Tamandua tetradactyla: one gene and its partners. The protein of the gene in region 3 purifies or fractionates together with the protein of the main gene of each other region. This does not show direct contact. Links are inferred from orthologs where the notes say so. Each region holds a gene or a part of one and is shown on either strand. Other genes may lie near its edges.

Region 1 (6,989 bases), on a different chromosome or scaffold from region 3:
TGCCCTGAGAAAGTGAGTGAGAGACTAGGGCAGCAATATAATGTGTATGCGCCCAGTTTTCCATTCTCACTGAATCACAAACCCAAGATAAGCCCTGCATTTCCATCACCCAAGTGGCATAAATACTTCCAAGATGGTTGCGTGTTTCTTTTGTAATTTAGATTAAGATAAGTAGAGTTCACTGTTGTAATGAAATCAGGTCACAGAGGCATGGAAAACTATGACAAAGGTCACACTGATGAGGGAAGGTCATAAGCAGCATGCTAAGCACAGATGGAGGAAGGGAGCTTGTGTGCTGAGATGGCGAGATGTGTGGCTGAGATGCACATCCGTTCAGATGGCAGAAACTGGTAGCTGAAGAGCCACGGACAAAGAATTGCACACGTTGAGTAAAAATGAAACACAAATATCACAGGGCATCTGCAGGATGCCTGGGGGTGAACGCTACGGACACAAAGCCACTGAGTTTGGGGTGAGTGCAGAATATAAACACAGTTATAGCATCAGGATAATATTTGGGGTATCAGATATCCTTTTCATGCTATTAAGCTTGTTTTGAACACTTTAATTACATAGGACTGGCTAATGTAAACAATTTAAAAGATCATGGTGGCCTTGAAATACATATACATAGTAATGAGTTCCTGTAGGCTGGGATGAAGCTACTTTAAAACATTCTATTTCCTGAGCCATGAAAGTTGCCCAGGTGTAGGCTATCTTGTGGTACCGCATCCCCCCGGGTGTAATAGTAGTGATGTAAAACAAGTCAGGGTGTGTTTAGTCATTTTACAACACATACGTAACTTCTGGTAACAGTTACCAGTATGAGGTATCTGTTGGGTAATTAGCTAGAAGGTTCAAGAGAACTTTCTTAATAATGTGTCCCTTTGCTTTAGAATTTCTTAGTAACAGAGTAATTTCTCTTTTCTAGAAACATATTAACATTTATAGTCAAAGCATAAGGACAGTTTTTAGATTAGGACAAAACCCTGAAAATTATTAACAATATTTGCTTCTCTTTGTCCTTACCTCACCCCATGTGTCGAATTTTTGCTTGATCTACCAGATGCACTGGAATGGACAGAGATAAACTACACATATGACCTCGTACGGCAGCTTATTTATTTCATGTTTAAGGCATTTTGTCATCCTAGATAGGGTCTTAAAGTATAGGAATCAATAGACCAGAACGTGGTTAAAAACCCCTTTCGTAGGGGAATCGAGGTTTTTCTACATTTAGGTGCATCGTTTGCTCAAAGGTTCTCTTTCCAGTTCTCTCTGCAGTGAACAGCATAAGTTCCCACCTTTGGTGATTTTTATTGTGGTGTGCAAATGTAGTAATTTATGCGCATAAATATCTTGTAAACTATGATGCAGTAAGCAAATGTATGGGTTATTCTTATCCTTGAGATGAGGCTCAGTTAATACCAAACAACTTGTTAGGGGAGGAGGCGGCCATAGGGTGCAAAACCTTGGCGCCTGAAGCCCTGGACCATATGTCCCTTAAGGAAGGGAGTGGGGTAAGGAATAGGGACATTATGCGGGAGGATAAGGCTGGGGCCCCCAATTTGGAGAGTATCCTTTTAAGGTTGGGAAGTCCTCATTCACTGGAAGGGTGGCTTCAGTTTCTAGCAGCAGCTTTCTGGAGAAGACCCCTGAGTGGCACAACGTCAAACCTGAAAAACAATCTAGGCCAATGGATTCGTTTCATTGGGTGGCTGAGATAATGAACCCTAATCGTATTGAGTCACTTTACTTACAGAACAGAAATGCTAGTGACATACACGTCATTAATCAACTCTTAAAAAGATATATATATATATTTAAATAGAAAGATACTTCACTCTCATCGCTTCCAAAAGAGTTCTGTGATAGATGGGCCTCACCTTTAGAGTCCTCCTGAAATGTGAAACTTGCTTTTTTTGTGCTGTTTGCCTGTACCCTGCACACAGTGTTTTGGAAACCTGCAGTTATCTAAATTCCCATCGGGTGACATTGTTTAATCTAACATTCCCTCTTTCATATACGAAAATAGCTCTAAGGACACACCACTGATAGGCTTTGAACTCTCTCCTGGTTGGGAGGGAGTTTCCAAACCCGCTGCCTTTCTCTTCGGTTTTTCCTGCCCACCCCCGCCCTATGCCGGCCAGGAAAGGCCTTGGGCCGCTCCCCATTAGGCAGGGGCTCACGGGGGAAACTGGGCCAAAGAAAAAAAGCACCTGCTCTAAACATCCCGCTTATCAGGCCACCCGGGACTCAGTCCTGTAGAAACCACTTCAAGTGATGATTTTTCCCTCTTTGACGTGAAAACTTAGGTCTCTCATAGGACAGGAGAAGACTATTGCCGTAAAATAACCACTACACCTATTCGCAAATATTGTGATGAAAGTATAAAAACAGAACGCTCACCTAAGAAGGCGGCCAAAAGTATTATTTTGCTTTGAAGACAGTAATCACTGAAAATAACAAGAAAAAGACTGCTTTCAAGTCATACTTTAAAATCAAAGGGAAGCTGCTTTTAATGTTCCAGGCTTATACAAAGGTCAAAACCCCATTCCTGCTTTCTGAGAGCATTAGAAAGATTAATGCCACATTTGTTTTAAAAACTGTGAGGCGCCTCCCTTCTGCAATCACACTGTCACATTATCACTCACCTAAGTTAGACTTAATAAGCTGCCCTGATGTGCTACACCCCGCACAAAGTGCACACAGCGCATAAACATGTGCCGTCGAGGATGCCGCACAGGAACATATTTAGCCAACACTCAGTTACATTATTTTATCTTTGAAAAATGAGAACTGACCGGCCAACCCTTTCAATCAGACCCACCCCACGGTAAATCCCACGGTATGTTTGATTCTCCAGTACATCTGGGCATAAACACTTCAACGACAGCTTTGTGTTTGGTATCAAAAAAAACCTTGTGTGTGTGTGTGTATATGTGTGTGTGTGTATGTGTGTGTGTGTGTATGTGTGTGTTTTCTCTACAGATCCCACGCTCTGGATTACGTTTGTTAAAAATATCGCTCATCACAGGTATAACACCTTTGCAGGTACGCTTCCGAGAACCCTGCGGACGGACGCACACAAAGGTGTGCCCAGAGCCTTCCCCCAACCAACGTCCCCCGGATGCGTGCGCCGCGCGCCCCGCACGTGCCCACGAGTGCGCACCGGCACCCAGGGGCGCCCCGCCCCCACCGGGGCCTCGGGCCGCGCGACCAACACCCAAAGCCGCCCAACGCCCGGGCGGTGGGGGACGGTGGGGGCGGGGCGCCCGGTGCCCCCGCGGCGCCGCGGGGCTGCATTCCTCCGAGACGGCGCCGCAGCCGCCCAGCCCCCAGCCCCGCCGCAGCGGGCGGGGAGGGGAAGAGGAGCTCGGCCGCCGGCGCCCCCCCCCGCCCCCCCGCCGCGCTGCCGCCGGCGCCCCTCCCCCTCCCCGCCCCCGCCCGCCCCGCGCAGGCCGCCCGGGTTTGTTTTGCTGCGCGGCCGCCGCCGCCGCCGCCGCCGCCGCCGCGGGCCTCGCGAGCTCATTTGCGCCTGGCTGGTCCCCGCTCCCTCTCCCCGGTGTGGAGTGGCGGAGCCGTTGGCTGCTCCGAACCGTTTGGCTCTTTCCCTTAGTAACAGCTTTTCCCTTCTGCCTCAATTCCTCGGCCCGCTCGCGCCCTGCCCCCGCGCGCCGCCCCCCCCCCCCCGCCGCCGGCCGTGCGCGCCCCCGCCCCCCCCCCGCGGCGGGAGCACCTCCGCTCGCCACCTGGGGACCCGCGCCGCCTCCCCGCCCCCGCCCGCCCGCCCGCGCCCAGCCCCCGCGCCCCGCGCTCGCCGGGGTTATAATTGCCTCTCACCCCCCGGAGGGGTTATTTTGGGGGTGGTTGGAGGCGGCGGCGGCGGCGGCGGCTGGGAGGGGAGTTTCCTTGCGCCTCCATTCCCGGGAGGGGGGAGCGCCGTCGGCGGCCGCCCTGGTCCAGGTAAGATGTGGGGGCCCCGACCCTGGGGTGGGGGCGGGCCGGGCCGGGGGGGGGGCGCGGGCGGAGGCGGCGGGGGGTGGGGGAGTCGCGCCAGGCCGTGCGGCTGCGGGGGGGATGGGCGCGAGTGGACGCTGGGTTCTTTAACTTGGCCCTTCGGGGAGCCGGCGTGCGGGTGGGGGAGGGGAGGAGAGGGAGGGCGTTTAGGGCGCCCCCACCCCCGCCTTTTCTCCTCTGGCTGGCTTCTTTGCGGTGCTCACGTGCCTGCCCAGCCCCTACCCTCCCCTGTTCTCGGGGGGATCCTCACCCTTTGGTTGTTGTCCCCGAAAATGTGCGCCTTGGCCTCACCCCCCGCCTTCCCCCCTCCGTGCATTTACACCCCCTTTTTTCTATGTGTGTGTGATGGTGGGGGGGAGAGGCTTTCAGGGAAAGAATTTGCTGCAAATTGAATCAAGGAGCCATCATGAGGCCGACTCCTTTATAAGCCTATTTTTAGCGGAGGAGAAAGCTCTTTTCCGTGCATGTTATTGGGTTAAACCTCCAGCAGTGATGGGAGCCGGCCCCCTTCTCGGGCGCGGCCCCGGCCCTCGTGTTGGGGGGCTGCGGGCGGCCGGGGGGGGGGGCGCGTCCGGGGCGGGGGCACCGGCCGGGGGAGGGGCGCGCCGGCCGCCTGGCCGCGCTGGGGGACGGGCTTCTCGGGAACTTAGTGCTTTGTATCGTCTGAAGGAGGTATGTGCTAGACCCTCTTTGAAGTTGGGTTCAGAAGTGTAGAATTGGCAAAGTTATTGCCAGCTTCCTGGTAAGTTTTGGGTGGCACAGAGTCCCATCATTTTCTGACGGTGGAAAGGCCACGTTGGGAGGGTGGTTTCGCGGTAACTTCCCCTTTTGCAAAAGATACCGTTTTTTTTTTTTTCCTGAACAGAAGCAGACTTTTGTGCAAGTGAAGTATTGATCTTAAATGGCAGCTCGAGGGAGGCCATGCATGTATTAACATGTTCAGTATTTTTGGAAGTTCCTAATTTGCTGAAACAGGCATCACTTTGCGGTGGCGACCGAGATTAAATTTGTTGTGAAAATGGTGTGCTACATGTAAAATAGGGGTGGTAATGGCTTTTTAGAAAATGCTCCCTTTGTTAGGATATCTGCTCACATTCACTTAAAAATAATTTGGCGATTTCAAAGGAGAAGTGTTGCAGCCTAGTTGAAAATTAGATCTTCCGAGTGTCTTGAGGTGGCTTTTAAAACCTAGGACTGTGCAGCATCAAAAGTGAGGTGTTAGAACCTATGTGATTTACAGTTGACTTAGGGAAGTTTTCTGTTGGCTTTCCTGCTTTCCAAACAAGAATCTTGTGCTGGTCTAAACAAGCTTGCTAATAAAATATGGTGGGTGAAATGGTGAGTTATTTTTAGTCTGAATGGTTTATCTCCCCCCTCCCCCCAGGTATATAATTAAGTAGTCTTCCTCCCCCTTTTTTACTAAAGACTCCTGCACTAGATTGGGTAATAGAAGGCCCTGGTGGTGCTTTTATCTACTTACCTAAAACAACTTATAATATCTTGGTTACACATCGACGATACAGAGAGTGAGTTTTTGGGTTTCCCAGTGGCATTCATTTTCATTTTGGTTAAGTAAGACTCATGCTACATTGGTGTATTTTAGTAATTCTGATTTTTGGTGCTGCATGTTCTCGCCATGTTAAAAAGTATATAGTCTAGGGAAATAGGGCAGCTTTGTCTTAAGGAAAACGGCATTTATGTTGGGTTGTATCATGGGATTTTATGGCAATTCTCCCAAATGATCACTGAGAGTTCTAGAAAAGTTAGCATTTACCGGTGGGGGAGGGGTGGCAGAAAGAAAACATGCCTGAGAGTGGTTAGGCATGGGATGCATGTTTGTACATTTTGCTCTTAAGTACAGCTTTTCCTGCTTGTTTGGAATATGATTTTTTCCCCCCACTTCTACTATCCTACATTGCGTGGTGTATGTAACAGCACCATTAAATCTATCGTTTATTTTTAGACATAGGAGTAGATAGAATCAGATTTACAGTGCAAATTACTAAACTTGAATGGGGGCTGAAAACACGTGCCAGGGAAAAAGTTTTACTTACTCTTAAGGAACTTAAGTGATTCCTTAATGGCTTAAAATTTGTTGCAAAACTCACCAATAGTTTATAAATTGTAACATAAAATAACTGTGGTTATTCATGGAAGACACTAGTGGTAAAATAACTAGCTCCTTGTAGAGGTTGTATTTATACATTTGTTGCTCCAAAAAGTGTTAAACATTTTTAATAACTTTTTACGTAATGTCCAGGAATCTTTTTAATATTTGCATCTGCGCCATCTAATTAAGGTTTTTTTCATGATTACCATGAAACATGCCTACTAGGAGAACAAGAAATGACAGCTTCCTGTGTGCTGGGAGCCTTTCATGCTAATATGCAAAAAAGGCAGTAGCTTAAGATAAACATAGGAGTTACTGATAAAAAGAGATGTGATTGATGGACTATTGAATGACAACCTGTTGAATCAACATATCTGCTCATATATAGTGATGAAATATAAGTACAGCCTAGTCAGATGAGTAGCTGACAAAGGAATCCCCTTCTGTAATTACAAGAGTATTACTACAGAGAATTTCTGACTCAACATATTTTGATCAAGTTGGTGGAGATAATTTTTTGGTTTTGTCCATTTTTACTGTTATATCTATGAAAATAATAGCAGGATGTGAGTGGTAACCAGGGGGAAGGGATGGCAGGAACTTTGACACTGTTTGGGACTTTGTATTTTAGTACATGCAAATTTGACTCATCTTGTAAATAATGTATACAATGTAAGTCACAGGAATGCAAAAAAAGGAAAGCAGTTACAGGAGCCATGTATACTTTGTACCTAAACATCCTCATCTGCAGAAGGGCTTGCACCTCAGGGCCATATAGTAAGGAATTGGTGATTAGTATGGTCCAGTTCAGAGACTGCTTCCACCAACCGAAACTTGAAGATTAAAAAAATGAAAAAGC
Region 2 (7,268 bases), on a different chromosome or scaffold from region 3:
TGGTTCTGCATTTTACTACTTCCTTACTTTAGCAAATGAAACTTTTGAAACCTCCTAACCATAGTTAGATCTGCCATATCTTGCCAATTATGTTGCCCATCTGCCTTTTAAAGCTAAAAGCTTTTTTAAAAAGCTTTAAAAGCTATTACTAACTCCCTGAAGATCTTCTTTACCCCTTTGATAAATTCTGTATCTGGGAAGAACTGGAAGTACAAACATATGTGAACATGTAAACTGGGTAGCAAACTGTGTGTGTGTGTGTGTGTGTGTGTGTGTGTGTGTGTGTGTGTGAGAGAGAGAGAGAGAGAGAGAGAGAGAGAGAGAGAGAGAGAGAGAGAGAGACCATTTCAAATGAAGAATTTAGACCAGCAAACAGACTACCAAAGAATTGTAATTAAGGATAATTGTCTTGGCAAAGTGTATCACAACTACTTTTTAAACGTGTTAAATATATGGAAGGTTTTATCCTGAAACCCATGTCTGTTCTACTTCCTTAATTATTTTTTTTAATGGTTCATGCTTTAAAAATTTTTTTATTGTGAAAAATAACATATACACAAAAAAGCACACCACAACAATTAGTTGTAGAATAGATTTCAGTTTGGTATGGGTTACAATTCCACAATTTTAGGTTTTCACTTCTAGCTGCTCCAAGACACTAGAGCCTTAAAGAAACATCACTATAACAATTCAGCAATCATACTCATTTGTTAAACCCAACCTTCGCTGTACAATTCCACCATTTCCTTTGATCTTTCCCCCAATCTTTAGGGGTATTTGGGCTATGCCCATTCTAACTTTTTCATGTTGGAAGGGGCTGTCAATAACACGGGATGGAGGATGGAACTAGTTGATGCTCTGGAGAGGCTGGCTCCTCTGGGTTTCAGGACTTATCTGGCCTAGGAATCCATCTGGAGGTTGTAAGTTTCTGGAAAGTAATCATAATATATAGAACCTTTGTAGAATCTCAGAAAATGCCCTAGGTGTTCTTTAGGGTTGGCAGGAATGGTTTTGGTTGGTGGTTGGCAAACTATGATAGGTAGTAATGTCCAGCCAAAGTGTGCATAAGAGAGCCTCCAGAGTAGCCTCCCAACTCTATTTCAACTCTCTCAGCCACTGATATATTTGATACACTTCTTCTCCGCTTTTGGTCAGGATGGAATTGTCAATCCCATGGTGCTACAGTCAGGCTCAGCCCTGGGAGTCATATCCCACATTGCCAGGGAGACTTTCATCTCTGGGTGTCATGTCCCACATAGTGGGGAGGGTAATGATTTCACTTGCAGAATTGGGCGTAGAGGCCATCTGAGCAACAAAAGAGGTCCTCTGTAAGTAACTCTTAGGCATACCTATAGGTAGGCTAAGCTTCTCTGCTACATAAATAAGCTTCACAAGAGCAAGCCTCAAGATCAAGGGCTTGGCCTAATGACTTGAGAGTCTCTTAATGTTTGAGACAGTATCAGGAGTTTCCCCAGTGGTAAAGTTTAACAGTCATATTTTTTCTCTCATCCTTCAAGGGACTTGCCAATACTTTTTTGATTATCTGTTTAATATACTCTGAGATGTATGCGGGCATTATATTAAGCTATATAGGATTGTAGGCCCCCATTCCCATTCTGGGCTGCCTGTGTTTGGGGTGTTTAAATGATCTATCCAGACAGGTTGAGTTAGATTATGTGCTATAGAATATTTAGGTTCTAGACAAAATAAACCTTTCTTCCTTTGGTCTCATAAAGTAGGTGAAGTTTCTATAATATAGACAATGTCTTCCTTATCCTTGTATTCTGAATTACCTTATTCCTGACCTGACTGGCTTCAGTCTTAACTCTAATTGAAATCTGATCTCTTTTTTTCAATTTCTTTAACAGTTGTTGTATGTGGCAACGCTGACCTTCAGAACTGTAGAACCTCTACTCTGAGTCTTATGTGTCACCAAGGTGTCAAAAGTTCCCGTACTCCTTAACTTTAACCCTGGAATGAGCATAATACCACATTGAGAATTTCTAGCAAGGAATCCAGAGTAAATTAGAAAGCAATAACAACATAATCCACATTTTTGTCTTGATTTTCAACTGTAGGGCCTATACTTGAAGAAGTTTAGATTTAGGTCATTCATACTCTTGCATTTGACAAATAATCATGGAGTGCATACTATGTGCCAAGCACTACTATTAGGTGCTAGAAATACAGAAGTGACCAAAACAAATATGGTCCTTGACTTCAGGGAGCTTACTATCTAGAGAAGGAGACAAACCTTAAACAGACATTGAACAAGTAAAACAAAATAAAATTGCAAGTTGTGGTTATTTCCTGTATATATTGTATCCTTCTCAGTTAACTGTTGTAATCACACCATTTTTTTAGAAGTATCTGTGAGAAAGATCCTTGAGCTGTTTACTCATCAGATAAAATCAGTTGTAGCTTGAGAGACATGAAGCCTTGTATAATGGCAGATAATTCTATAACCTTCATCATGAACATTATTATGGAATTTATTCCAAGAAGCAAAATATTCATTTATATGTGCATGTTGGCAGTATAATGTCTAATCACAGGATGGGAATTCGTCAGTAATGTCTTCTTGAGATCTGCTCATGACGATTTGTTGGAAAACACACATATACTTCAGCTTTTCAACTGAATTTTCTTATCCTAAACTTATTTTGAAAAATACCAGTGCTCCAGCATGCAAATATTATGCTACATCAATTAAATGACTCTTTGAAGAACAAAGATTTATAATGAACTTCATAATCTGCATTTTTAAATTTGTATTAAATTTACATTCAGGTTAACATTACTTCCAGGCACATTTTGTTTGCCACCGCTCAGCTGAAAGTATACAAAGTATACAAAGGACTTAAAAGTTTTTACCTTTTGCTCCATACTCTAACACCTTCTTACGGCTCCTAAAGTCCAGCTCTCTTCATTCCACAGCTAAAGGGCGCTCAGTCGTTTATATGGGTAGTACCTCTGACTTCTTCCTCTTTACTTTTTCCCTTGTTTGACTTTTAAGTGTTTTCTCATTGAACAGTCGCATTTTATTTTATTTTATTTTCAACTCTGCATGTTGTTCTACTTAAAAAATATCCCACTAAGGAAATCGGAGGGAAGGAGACTAGGAGCCAAAGTTCTTTCAGGAGAATGTGTACAAGACTCCTGCCTTTACCTCGCCAAATTTAAACACATCCAACCCCTCCTTGCGAGGTTCAGTCGACCACTCACAACCCTGTACATTTGAGGAGCTATTCGTTGGTATTTACATATATTTAAAACTGTTTCCTTCTCTCTTTTTCAGAATTATTTGAATATGTTCTTTTGTGATTTGTGTAATTTGTTTCTGATAATGATGTTCCTAGTAAAGATACGTATCCTTGGAATTCATGTCCTTTCACAAGTGAGTTACACCATTACGTTACTAAGTCAGGTGTCACGGTCCTCGCTCTCCAGAAATCAGTGTTTCGTGGCCAAGCAGCTTCTTCAACTTTCTAAGACCAATCACTAGGAGGTGGTATCATCACAGGGTTACCACCTTCTCCCAAGTTTTACCTGTTACGAGTACCAAATCGGAGGGATTTTATCAGATTTGTCTAACGCGCCCCTTTCCTTCTCCACCCACCCGTTTTGGGCCCTGATGCACAGCACCCCTGCCCATCCCGGCCCCGAGGCTGGACCTTTATGGCAGCCGGGATCCCCTGCCAAGAAATGGAACTAGGGGCTCCCCAACCCTAAATATAGGCGAGGCAAAGTCAGAGGAGTGCCTTAGGAGTGCCCTGGCAGAAATGACCCACCGGCGGAGAAGAGAACGTACTTTAACTCAGCTTTGGCCCTGGACCCCCGTCGTCTGGGACTACCCCGGCAAAAAGAGAAAACAACTGTCGGCGATTCTCCTTTCCGTTCCCGGCCTCCCCTCAGCTCTCCTACTTCTCTTCCGCTCCCTCCCCTTCGCCCGGGAGGCACGTGGTGCGGCTCTGCCCAGCCCTGCCGGAGCCGTTCCCCTCCTCCCTCCGCCCTTCCCCGCCCTCGCGGCCTCCGGCCCTTTCCTCCCAGCGCCTCTCGCTTCCTCTTTCCGTTCGCTTTTTCCACCCCCGCTCTCCATCGCCCTTCCTTATTGGTTGAGCTCGCCGGAGCCTGATTGGCCAATCAGTGAGCTGGGCTGGCGGTGATGGGCGTGGCCGCGGCGCCGGGGCTCTCAGATCGAGGCCGCCTCCCCCTCTCTGCCGGCAGCGCATTCCGCCGCCGTTGCCGCCGCCCGGCCCCGCAGTTGTCTTTGCCCGAGCTGCAGTCGCGCTGGGGTTAGGGCAGGGGGGGCGGGCGGGGAGAGGAGAAGGCCGCGGCTGAGGCAGGTGAGAGGAGGAACGAAGAGGCGGCGCGGCGGGCACAGCAGCTCAGGCGGCGGCCCGGTTCCTGGGAGTGTCGGTGCGGCGCGGAGGTTGGGGCGGATCCCGCGGGGCCCGGGCGGGGGAAGGAGTCACCGGCCCGGCCATGGCGGACAACGAGAAACTGGACAACCAACGGCTCAAGAATTTCAAGAACAAAGGCCGCGACTTAGAGGTAAACTCGGGGATACCGGAGGGGTGGGGACCTTGGGCCTCGGGCTGCTCTCCACCCGGACTCTGAGTGTGGGGAGTAGGGGCGGGAGCCGCCGCCGGGCCGCGGGGGAATGGCGCTGGGGGCTGGCCCGTCCGTGACGCCTTTGCTAATGCGCCGGGAAGTTTGTGTCGGGCCTGGTCCGCCTCCGCCGGGGAGCGAGGTGCCTGGGAACGGCCGGCGCGGCCTAGGCCTGCCGGCTGAGCCAGCCCGTCGCGGGTCCGAGGGGCTGGGCCGCGCGGCGGGAGGCCGGGCGCGGCTGTGCCCCGGCCGGACCGCGGCCCCCTCCCCGGCAGTGGCGGAGATTCCGTTTCTCGCTCGGGCCCCGACGTCTGGCGCCGGGGCAAGGAGGGTGGTGGGGGATGAGGGCTAGTGTGTGGCGACCTAGTGGGGCTCGGAACTTCCTCGGCGAGGAGGCCCGAGGCGTCTTCACTTAAAGGCATTTTTTCTGGTCTTCCCGACTCCCGCTTTACCCCTGCCTCCCCCTAATATCCAAACTACAGGAGTCAACTTCTCCGTTGAAAAAACACCCCCGGCGTGAGAGGCCATCCTGGTGATGCTAACAGTGCCTTCCAGCGGCCTGTGTTTTACTCTGCATATAGCTGAATCAAGATGTGGCTCACGGTGTGCCCTCTTCCAGGCAAAGGATTTCCCTTATTTCAGCTTGTCCACAAATCTTTTATCCCCTCCTGAGAGGAGACCACCAGCTGCATTCTTACATATAAAGCCCAAGGGTTATACAAAGCTGTCATCCTCTAGTCTACAGTATCCTTTCCCTCCACCTGCTGGTGGTGGTAGTGGGGGATGGGTGGGCTATGGAATGGCACCATCAAGTTTTATTTGAAACAAACAAAAAAGGCTTCATTGTCTTAGATACAGCTGCTGCAGAGGTTCTCAGTCTACGTAGTGTGTGGGTTAAACACACAAATCACTGAGATTTTTAATAGAAAACATCCCTTCAGCTTTAACACTCTAGGTGAATAGATTTTTTTTTTAATACTACCATTCTGCGTCTGAATCGAGTTTATTTTTTTAAGAAGAGGGGTCAAGTGATATGTTTTGTATTGTCTTTGGCATATTTTATACTGAGCTCTTAAAATTCTCATCACCTGTCTCTGAACCTTGAGCGTTTGCTTGGCTAAGATAGTAACTATACTGGGGGCTTTCCACATAGCCATTCAATCTTACTATAAGGGAGTTGGTGCTGTTTTAGTGGGTTTCATAGGGGATATTAGGTGTTTGGGGAGGTGGCTGTTAATTCTGTGGTTGTTTTAAGGTTAACATGAGTCACTTTTCTTATAATTCCCTTTTTTATAAAAAAAGAAAAGATTAACTTTGAGATATAACTTACCATAAAAGCCACCCATTTTAAGTGCACGATTTATGATTTTTAGTAAACTTATCTAGTTGTGCAACAAGGTGATGAAAAACTTTTTTACTAACATGAATATTTACTTAGAATGAGAAAACGCCCCAAATTACTAATTTAAAAAGCCGACAACTACAAAGTTACAAAGTCCAGAAAAATAATAATTAAATGCTTGATAAGGTCCTATAATCCTTTTTTCTCCTACATTTTTGTTTAATTTAAAAAGATAGCTTCATTGAGATATAATTCACATATCCAAAAATTCACCCGTGAAGTATATAATTCAGTGGTTTTTAGTATAGTTTTAAGTTGTGCAGCCATTACCACACTCAATTTTAGAACATTGTCATCACTCTCAAAGAATCTGTACCGATTTTCAGTAATTCTCCAATTTTCCCCGCCTACCCCAGTCCTGTTTTCCCTATTCTGGACATTTAATATCAATGGCGCTATAGAATAGTGATCTTTTATAACTAGCTTCTTTCACATAGAATAATATTTCCAAGATTCATTCATGTTATAGCATATATCAGTACTTTATGTCTTTTTTGGCGGAGTAATATTCCATTGTACAGATATACAACATTTTGCTATCCATTTAGGAGTTTATAGACATCTGGGCTGTTTCTACCTTTTAGCTGTTATGCAGAATGCTGCTATGAACATTTGTGTACAGATGCTTATGTGAACAAAGTTTTTCATTTCTCTTGGTTTTATACGTAGAAGTGGAATTACTTGGTCATATGGTAGCTATGTTTAACCTTTTAAACATATTTTCTACATATGTTTTCTATTTAGATTGTTTTCTAAAGTGGCTACACCATGATCCTCCCCCCATGTCATTTTATGAGATATATTCATGTGTCATACAGTCCATCCAAAGTATACAGTTTTTTCCAAATGTCATTTTATTGAGATATATTCATACACCATACAGTCTGTCCAAAGAATAAAATCAATGGTTCACATTTGGTTGCTTTTCCATTTGGGGTATTTCTTTAAATGGTTTTGTGGAAAATGAAATAACCTCAGTATTTACTCCTTTTGAAAACAGTGCCTCCCTGAGGCAAAGAGCATTTGAGGTTTTATGTGGAATTTTCTTTATAGTAATCTAAGTTTATTTTGGAGTTTCTGGCTGCACTCAGTGTCATGTTACATATTTAACTTTCTAAATGTGAGAATAAAAAGATAGTATTTCCTTCCTTTGAAAGAATAAAGACTTCGTATTAGTTAAAAAAAAAAAAGAAGTGGTTCACAGTATTATCATATGGTTGTGCATTCATCACCATGATAATTTTAGAATATTTGC
Region 3 (7,806 bases):
TATTGCATTCCAGCAGCTAGCAAACTAGACCAAAGTCCTTTCTAGATCTCAAAAAAAATAACCTACATACTTTTTCAGTTCAAGAGATGTTTAGATGGATGGGATAGAAGTTTGTGTTCAGTCCGCCATATTGATCAAATCCTGCTATTTGGTTCTCTGTCAGTCGTCATGTATACTATATTTTCCTTGATTTTATCTTCTGCTATCCCATTTTAATGGGACCCATTTAAAAGATGTTAACAGTCCCATTTGAAAGATGATCCCATTTTTATTCTACTAAAGTAAATACTTAATTTTTTTTTTTTTACTTTTCAACGACAAGAGTGAAATTGTATCATTTAGGAGTCATTTATTCAATCTATGGAATTTATCAAGACCCTGTGGTGACTTGAACCTGTTATATACCCCAGAAAAAGGCCAGGTACTTTTAATCCATTTCTGTGGGTGATGAACTACTGTGGTGGAACCTTTTGGTTAGGTTATTTCAATTGAGATGTGACCCAGCCCATTCAAGGTGGGTCTTAATCCAGTACTGGAGTCCTTTGTGAGAGGATAAAAGACAACCGAGAGAGAGAGAGAGAGAGAAAAAAAGACAACCAAGAGCGATTACAGAGAAAAGCCCCACAGATGCTAAGGGAGGATACACAGAAACTCAGAGACAAAGCCACTGGAACCAGGAGCTGAAAGCAATTGAAATCTTGGAGTGAAGTACCAGCAGACACCAGCCATTGAACTTTCCATGTGACAGAGGAACCCCTGATGCCAGCAACAGGAACCGTGTTGATATCTTAATTGGGACATTTTCACGGCCTTAGAACTGTATATATATGTATTTTTTTTGAATGGGCAGGCACCAGAAATCAAACCCAGGTCTCCAGCATGGCAGGCGATAACTCTGCCTGCTGAGCCACCATGGCCCACCGAGAACTGTAAATTTGTAAACTAATAAATCCCCATTGTAAAAGCCAACCCATTTTTTGGTATATTACATTCCAGCAGCTTTGGCAAAATGAAAAAGATCCCCTTCATTATTTTTCTCTTTTAAATATTCCTTGACTTTAAGTCTTGCATGTGTATTCTTCCAAATTCAGAATTAACTTGCTGCAGTCTATAAAAACTCCTGGATTTTTATTGTGATGGCAAAGAATTTCCAGATTTATTTATGAAGAATTGGCATTTTAATTATGTTGACTCTTCCTTCTAAGAACAGGGAAATTTCTAATTCTTTTCTGGTTCTTTATTTAGGTTGTCCAGTCAAGTTTTATAGTTTTAAAAAATAGGTATTTGGTGTTTCTTATTAAGTTTATTTCCAGTTATTTTATCATTTTTGTAGCTATATTGAACTGAATTCCCCCCCCCCTTTTTTTCAATTACATTTTCCAGCTTTTTATTACTGATTGGGTCTCAACACCAGGGAACAGACTTGGGATTTTATAGGTCTTTCCCTTTATAGTGAAACTCCAAGGGTGAGTTTTAAAAGAGAACGATTGCATAGTAGATCTTGTTCTGTTTTTTCCTGTGTCTTCACTTAACACCTGTGCTGGTTTGAAAGGATGTATGTCCCCTAGAAAAGCCATGTTTTCATCTAAATCCCATTTCATAAAGGCAGAATAATCCCTATTCAATACTCTATGTTTGAAACTGTAATCAGATCATCTCCCTGGAGATGTGATTTAATCAAGAGTGGTTGTTAAGCTGGATTAGGTGATGAAATGTCTCCACCCATTTAGGTGGGTCTTGATAAGTTTCTGGAATCCTATAAAAGAGGAAACATTTTGGAGAATAAGAGATTCAGAGAGTGCAGAGAACGATATAGCCACAAGAAGTAGAGAGCCCACAGGCCAGTGACCTTTGGAGATGAAGAGGGAAAATGCCTCCCAGGGAGCTTCCTGAAACAGGAAGTCAGGAGAGAAAGCTAGCAGATGACGCCTTGCTCGCCATGTGCCCTTCCAGCCAAGAGAGAAGCCCTGACTGTGTTCACCATGTGCCTTCTCACTTGAGAGAGAAACCCTGAACTTCATTGGTCTTCTTGAACCAAGGTATCTTTCCCTGGATGGATACCTTTGATTGGACATTCCTATCGACTTGTTCTAATTGAGACATTTTCTCAGCCTTAGAACTGTAAACTAGCAACTTATTAAATTCCTCTTTTTAAAACCCATTCCATTTCTGGTATATTGCATTCCAGCAGCTAGCAAACTAGAACAACACCATTAAGCATGATGTTTGCTGTAAGTTCTTTATACACTCCTTTGATCAGATTAAGGAAGTTCCTGTCTACTCATAGTTCTCTAACCTTTTTATAATCATAAGTGGTTGTTGAGTATTATCAAGCACTTTTTCTGCATTTTTGAAATGACCAATTTGTTCCCCTTATATCATATAAAGTTAATGCTCTAATATCAAACCATCCTTGCATTCTTAGATAAAAGCTCAACTTGCTTATGATACAGCATTTATTTCATAAATTTCTGGCTTCAATTTAGTAATGTTTTGTTTAGCTCTTTTACATCTATTTGCCCATTCAGTGTCATTCCCTCCCCATCTCATTATAGTAACAATATTTAGTCTCATAAAATAAGTTTGGAGAGATTTCTTTCCTTTCTTATTCTCCAAAAAACTCCATATAATTGGAATTTCACACTCATTAAAGATTTGGAAGAATTCAAATGTAAAGCTGTCTGGGCCTGGGTTTTTTTGTGGGCGGATTTTTCAACACATTCAATTTCTGTAATGATTATCAGCGGTCTAATTGGGTTTTCTGTTTCTAGAGTCAGTTTTGGTAAGTTGTACTTTTCTAGGATTGTATTCAATTTGCTTATGCTTTCAAATTTGCTGCCATACAGTTGCTCATAATACCTGTTTAAAAATAAAAATCTCTGTTGTATCTGTGGTTACATGCTCTGTTCATTCCTTTCATTTACATGTCTCTTCTCTCATATCCATCTTGTGAGAGAGTTGGCTTGTTTTTCAGCTTCTCAAAGAACCAGCTTTTGATTTTCTCAGTATTATTTCTACTTCATTGGTTTCTGTTCCTCCTTATTTTCCTTCCCCCTATTTTCTCTACGGGTCCTTTTATAGCTTGTTGAGTTGGATGTTTAGGCTGTTGACTGCTTTTGCTGCATCTCTGAGCTTCAGAATCATACACCCAATCCCTGCTCAACATCTCACTTGTGCTTCTAATAGGCATCCCAAGCTTCACATGGCTGAAACAGAATTCTCGATTTGCACCTCCAAAAACATGCTTTTCTTGAAGTTTTCCACATCTTGGTGAAAGGCACCCCTATTCACTCAGCTGCACAAGACCCAAACTTGGGATTTGTTCTGTTTTTTCTCTTTCTCCGTACCCTTCTTCTGATCCTTTCCATTCACTTTTGAGAAGATATCTTAATCTGACATGCTGGCGCCTCTTCAGCCACATACGGCCTTCTTCTTAGTCCCCAACATGCCAGGAACAGTCTCTCCTTAGGCCTTGGAAATTGCCTGGAATGTCTCCCCCACCCCCAGATATCCATATGGGGGAATGAAATGAAGGAGAAAGCCTGTGGATACCAAATAGCATTCCCTTATTCCTGGCTTTATCTTTTTCAAAAGCCCTTACCACCATGTGACATTATATCATATACTTGTTTGTCTATTTAGTATGGCTCTTGCCCACAAGAAAGTTAGTTCACTGCCTTGGTCATTGCTATAACTGCAGAGCCTGGAACAGTGGCAGGCATGGAGTAGCTATTCAATAAATGAACAGAATGGGGGAAAGCCAAATCACAATAAGAAGATTCTCTGCTAGGCATAGCACCACTACAAGGAATGCTTAAGGACCGGGATGTTGAACCATCTCAGGGTAAGGTCGCCACAACAAACACTCCTGTCCTGAACATCTCCTCGGCTGCAACTTTTCTTCTACTCTTAAATATTTTCCAGAAACAGAATTGCTGGATCTTAGCTTCCCAATCGCTTTTTCTAGGAAGCCTGCCCTCCCCCTTCCAGGCGGAGTCAAGCGTTCCTTCCTCTGCTCTGCCACTGCCTCTGATCCACACCTCCAGCAAACCATCAGTTCCAAGCATCCAAGTCCCGTACAGCCTTGACAGATCTCCTCATCCCCCTCCCAACACAGTTCCGCGAAGGCAAGGGCTGGGATCTGCTCCTCGGTTCGTCCCCGCCCCTCAGCATGTCTGGCACGCGGCAGGCCCGGCTGAAAACATGCCACGGGTAGGCCTCTTAAACCAAAGGCCCTCGGCTGTAACAACGCTGGACTCGACTGCTTCTCCTGAAGGCAGCGCTACTGAGAAAATGAGGGTGAAGTGGCAGCATTATTTCGGCGTTTGTGTTCAGCAGGCCACCCGCCCCGCAGGGCCGCGCACAACAAGCCTTCGGAGTCCAGGCCTCGGCTCGCCCCAACTTCCGCAAGGGCCCATTAATTCTACACATCCAAATTCCGCCCACTAAACCAGCCCCTCAGGGTCCCGGCCGCCTCTTTTCCCAAAATGACGGCCGGCGGCAGCCAATCGGCGGTCGACCGAGGGTCCCGCCCCTTTTTCCCGGGGCGGTAACTGACAGAAACTCCCGCCAATTCGCCGCCACGCTGCCGGGGCCCCGCCTTCTCGCGGCCTTCGCAGCCAGTGGCGGGCGGGCTCGGGGCGACGCCGGGCGTGGTCGTGGGCGTGGCGCGGGCGCGCAGGTGCAGCAGTGCGCAGGCCGGCGGGAGGGCGGGGCGCGACGTCGCGCCGTGCGGGGTCTCGGCGTCGGCGGCGCGCGCACTCCCTCCTCTCGGAGAGAGGGCTGTGGTAAAAGCCGTCCGGAAAATGGCCGCCGCCGCCGCCGCCGCGCCGAGCGGAGGAGGAGGAGGAGGCGAGGAGGAGAGACTGTGAGTGGTACCGCCGAGGCCGCGGGCGGGGACCCTTCCTTGGGGGAGGGGGGCAGGGGCGGGACGTGGCGCGGGAGGGGCCCGCGGGATCGGGCGACTCGGCTGGCGGATGGCGTCCCTCCTCTCTACCCTCCCCCTCCCCCGCCTGCTGCCTCCATTGGTGGCTCCCCCCTCGGCCCGTCACTAGCGCTCGCGGGTGACCGTCCTCGTCGTTGTCTCGCGGGGCCGCCGCCTGGGCCTTCGGCCCCACTCCCGTCCGCCTTCGGCGTGCATCCCCGCCCCCGGCCCGGTGGGCACCCGAGGCGCCGGGGCTCCGCAGGTCGTGGCTGCGCGCGCGTCCTGCCCTTCTCGGGGCTTCGGGCCGCGGCGCCGACGCGTGCCCGCGCCCCCGGCCCCGGCCTCTCCCTGGCTCGCGCTCTCCCTCTCCCTCCCTCTCGCGCCCCCTCTCCCGTTACTTTGCCCCCCCCACCGTTGCGCGTGCGCAGTTCGCCCGCCGTCGGGAGAGTGCGCCACAAGGGCTCCTGCGCTCTCACTCCCCCCCATCCCTCCAGGTTTTGCCTCCCCCTCCTTCTCGCCCATTCCATGACTTTCTGCCCCCACTGGAAGCGAGTCAGTCCACAATCTCCTTTGCGCATCTCGCAGGAAGAAGTAGGTGGGAACGATTGCCCACCCACAAAAGGGAACAGACACTGTGTTCTTGGGTCCCACAACTCATCATAAAGAGGTAGTTTCAGTACCCTCCAGGAGCCGTGGGGAGGGGACTCGGCGTCCGGCAGCACCTTAGCAGCACATGAGGTTCCTCGGTGTGAGCGCGACCCCAGGGAGCTCAAAGGTCCTTTTGGGGTTCTCTGGTTTCGGAATATGAGCGCCCTCCCGTCCTCCCCCCCCCCCCACTCGCCAGTGATCTTCCAGTTACATAAGTGTAATGGGACATGGTCGGTAATGGGCTCCCGGAGCCCCGGAGCGCACCCCGCACAAGATCACCAGGGCCAGATGTGGCAAGTTCGTTGCACTGCTGTGGCTCCTATCAATTTTTCTGAAAGTTTATTCTTTTTAGTTCTGTTCTGACTGGATCGCCTCAACTGAAACTCGGGTGACTTATATGGCGGTGGCAGTGTTGCTGGGGTTTGGCACTGAAGACTTAAGGTCATTGGGAAGAGTCTAAAAAGATTGATCTCATGGAGGAGACTGTTTGTGACATCGATAAACTTTGTAGTATATGGCAAATTCCCCCCCCCCCCCCCCCCCGTGTCAGTGGCTTCTCTGTTGTGTTTTCGGGTGTGGGTTGGTCACGGCAGAAATGGGCTCCACTGTAAAATTGATATATTCCTGACTCATGGTACTTCAGGTCGTTTTCCCAGTAAGAGGAATGGGCTCTGCCGAGCCATTCACACATTGCATCTCTACTGTGCAGATCAGTGACCGGAATTGGTGAGATTACAGGATGTAATTAAGAGAATGGTTGGTGATCATGTAATCAAACCTATCGCGTGTGGCACTGGCTGGCTTTGACTTTGTGGGACTCTCACAAGTTTGAGGCATTCCGTAATACTATAAAAATGAAGCATATTCAGACCTCTCTGGTAAAATTGAACTCTTGATAGTCAATTATTACTCTAGAGCTAGATTTGGGCTCTGTAGCTGGGCTTGTGAGATTAAGCTGACCCTCTTGGGTCTTTTGGAATATGCTAGGTCCCTATAAAAAGTCTGGATATATTAGGTCTTTCGGGAATTTCCATCAGAGATTTCAAGAGAGAGGCTTATTTACGGACTTTACAGAACTTCTACTTCAAATTCCAGTCAGAAAGCCTAAGAAGCACTCTTATTTTTCTGACCTGAACGTTGTCAGTAGCTTGGACAGCATAGTCAGTCTAGTAAAAGGACGATTGGCTTTTGTATATTGATTAAAATGAGCTGCCGTCTATCACTCATTCACATCAGGTCAGACAGGTGGCCTGTCATTGGAATACTTGCATGTCCACAGACACACATGCCTCACTTGACGAAGATTTCAAGGTTTGTACATCTGAATCTAAGAAGTGACATGAGTAGGTCTCTGGTTTCTCTTTCATTGTTGGCAATATGGTGGTCTCTGGTGTCCCTCCAGTTAGCTGTCTTGTCATATCCCTAGTCCTTTAAACGGTCTAGGTGTTTTCCAGATTATCTGTTTCTCTGTAAAGTGCCTGGTGGCATCTAACATCAGTGTGTCCTAACAGCTGGAAGAAACCTTGTACGGCTTTCTTGCTGGTACTGGCCTATCACACTGTACTAACTCCTTTTTTTTTTCTTCCAATTTGCTTGGAGTGCTTTAACTCTAAAGTGCCAGGTCTTTTTTTTCCCACTTGATAGGAAAGCATCATGTAGTAAACCCTACTTTGACTTTTTTTTTGCTATTTGAAACCTGAAGTAGTTCTGGGGCAAAGCGCTCTATGTTTACAGTTTCCAGCCAGTCATTTCCAGTGGGCTGGTGTGGGGGGGCGGGGGCAAGCTGTGTAGTTTGAAGGAAAAAAAAAAAAGGGCTGGTTAGGTGGCTCCAGTATGTAATTACCTCCACCCAAATACTCCTTCCCCCACCTGGAGATGGACCGAGAACTTTGTTTCTGTAACCTTGAGTGGGGAAAAAAAAAAAAGCAGAGGTAAAGTTGTTAGTTTCTTACTTCAGTCCAATTTCCACCTCTCAAGTACCTTCTTGGGATGATTTTCATGATAAATGATGTGTCTTAAAGGCCCTCATCTTTTATGAGGATGAATATGAGTGAAAATCTTATGAGTGGATAAGCACGGTTTGTAGCCAGGCTACTTTTATGAGAAGAGACCATAAAATGCTTGGCATTCAAAGTAAGTAGTATTTGCAGTGCTCAGAGGATAGAAGCTGCGCCGTGGAGCCCACTTGCTGTGCTTTAGGCTCACAGAAGCGTCAGCGGTGCGATTGACAGTGA

What was found.
Region 1: the proteins of MECP2 (region 3) and TBL1XR1 purify together in Homo sapiens (co-immunoprecipitation; 3 studies listed by BioGRID and IntAct, with this or other methods). This does not show direct contact. The link is inferred for Tamandua tetradactyla from reciprocal best matches to the Homo sapiens genes MECP2 and TBL1XR1.
Region 2: the proteins of MECP2 (region 3) and KPNA4 purify together in Homo sapiens (affinity purification with mass spectrometry; 3 studies listed by BioGRID and IntAct, counting the BioPlex papers as one, with this or other methods). This does not show direct contact. The link is inferred for Tamandua tetradactyla from reciprocal best matches to the Homo sapiens genes MECP2 and KPNA4.

What each region holds. Positions count from the first base shown.
Region 1 is NC_135331.1:75,025,026-75,032,014, reverse strand, and holds the start of TBL1XR1 (F-box-like/WD repeat-containing protein TBL1XR1), read left to right. Parts: upstream 1-3,927; 5' UTR 3,928-3,966; intron 3,967-4,638; exon of another isoform or gene 4,639-4,762; intron 4,763-6,989. UniProt on the Homo sapiens protein: F-box-like protein involved in the recruitment of the ubiquitin/19S proteasome complex to nuclear receptor-regulated transcription units. Plays an essential role in transcription activation mediated by nuclear receptors.
Region 2 is NC_135331.1:57,305,379-57,312,646, reverse strand, and holds the start of KPNA4 (importin subunit alpha-3), read left to right. Parts: upstream 1-4,206; 5' UTR 4,207-4,485; coding exon 4,486-4,554; intron 4,555-7,268. UniProt on the Homo sapiens protein: Functions in nuclear protein import as an adapter protein for nuclear receptor KPNB1. Binds specifically and directly to substrates containing either a simple or bipartite NLS motif.
Region 3 is NC_135353.1:6,403,741-6,411,546, reverse strand, and holds the start of MECP2 (methyl-CpG-binding protein 2), read left to right. Parts: upstream 1-4,754; 5' UTR 4,755-4,867; intron 4,868-7,806. UniProt on the Homo sapiens protein: Chromosomal protein that binds to methylated DNA. It can bind specifically to a single methyl-CpG pair. It is not influenced by sequences flanking the methyl-CpGs.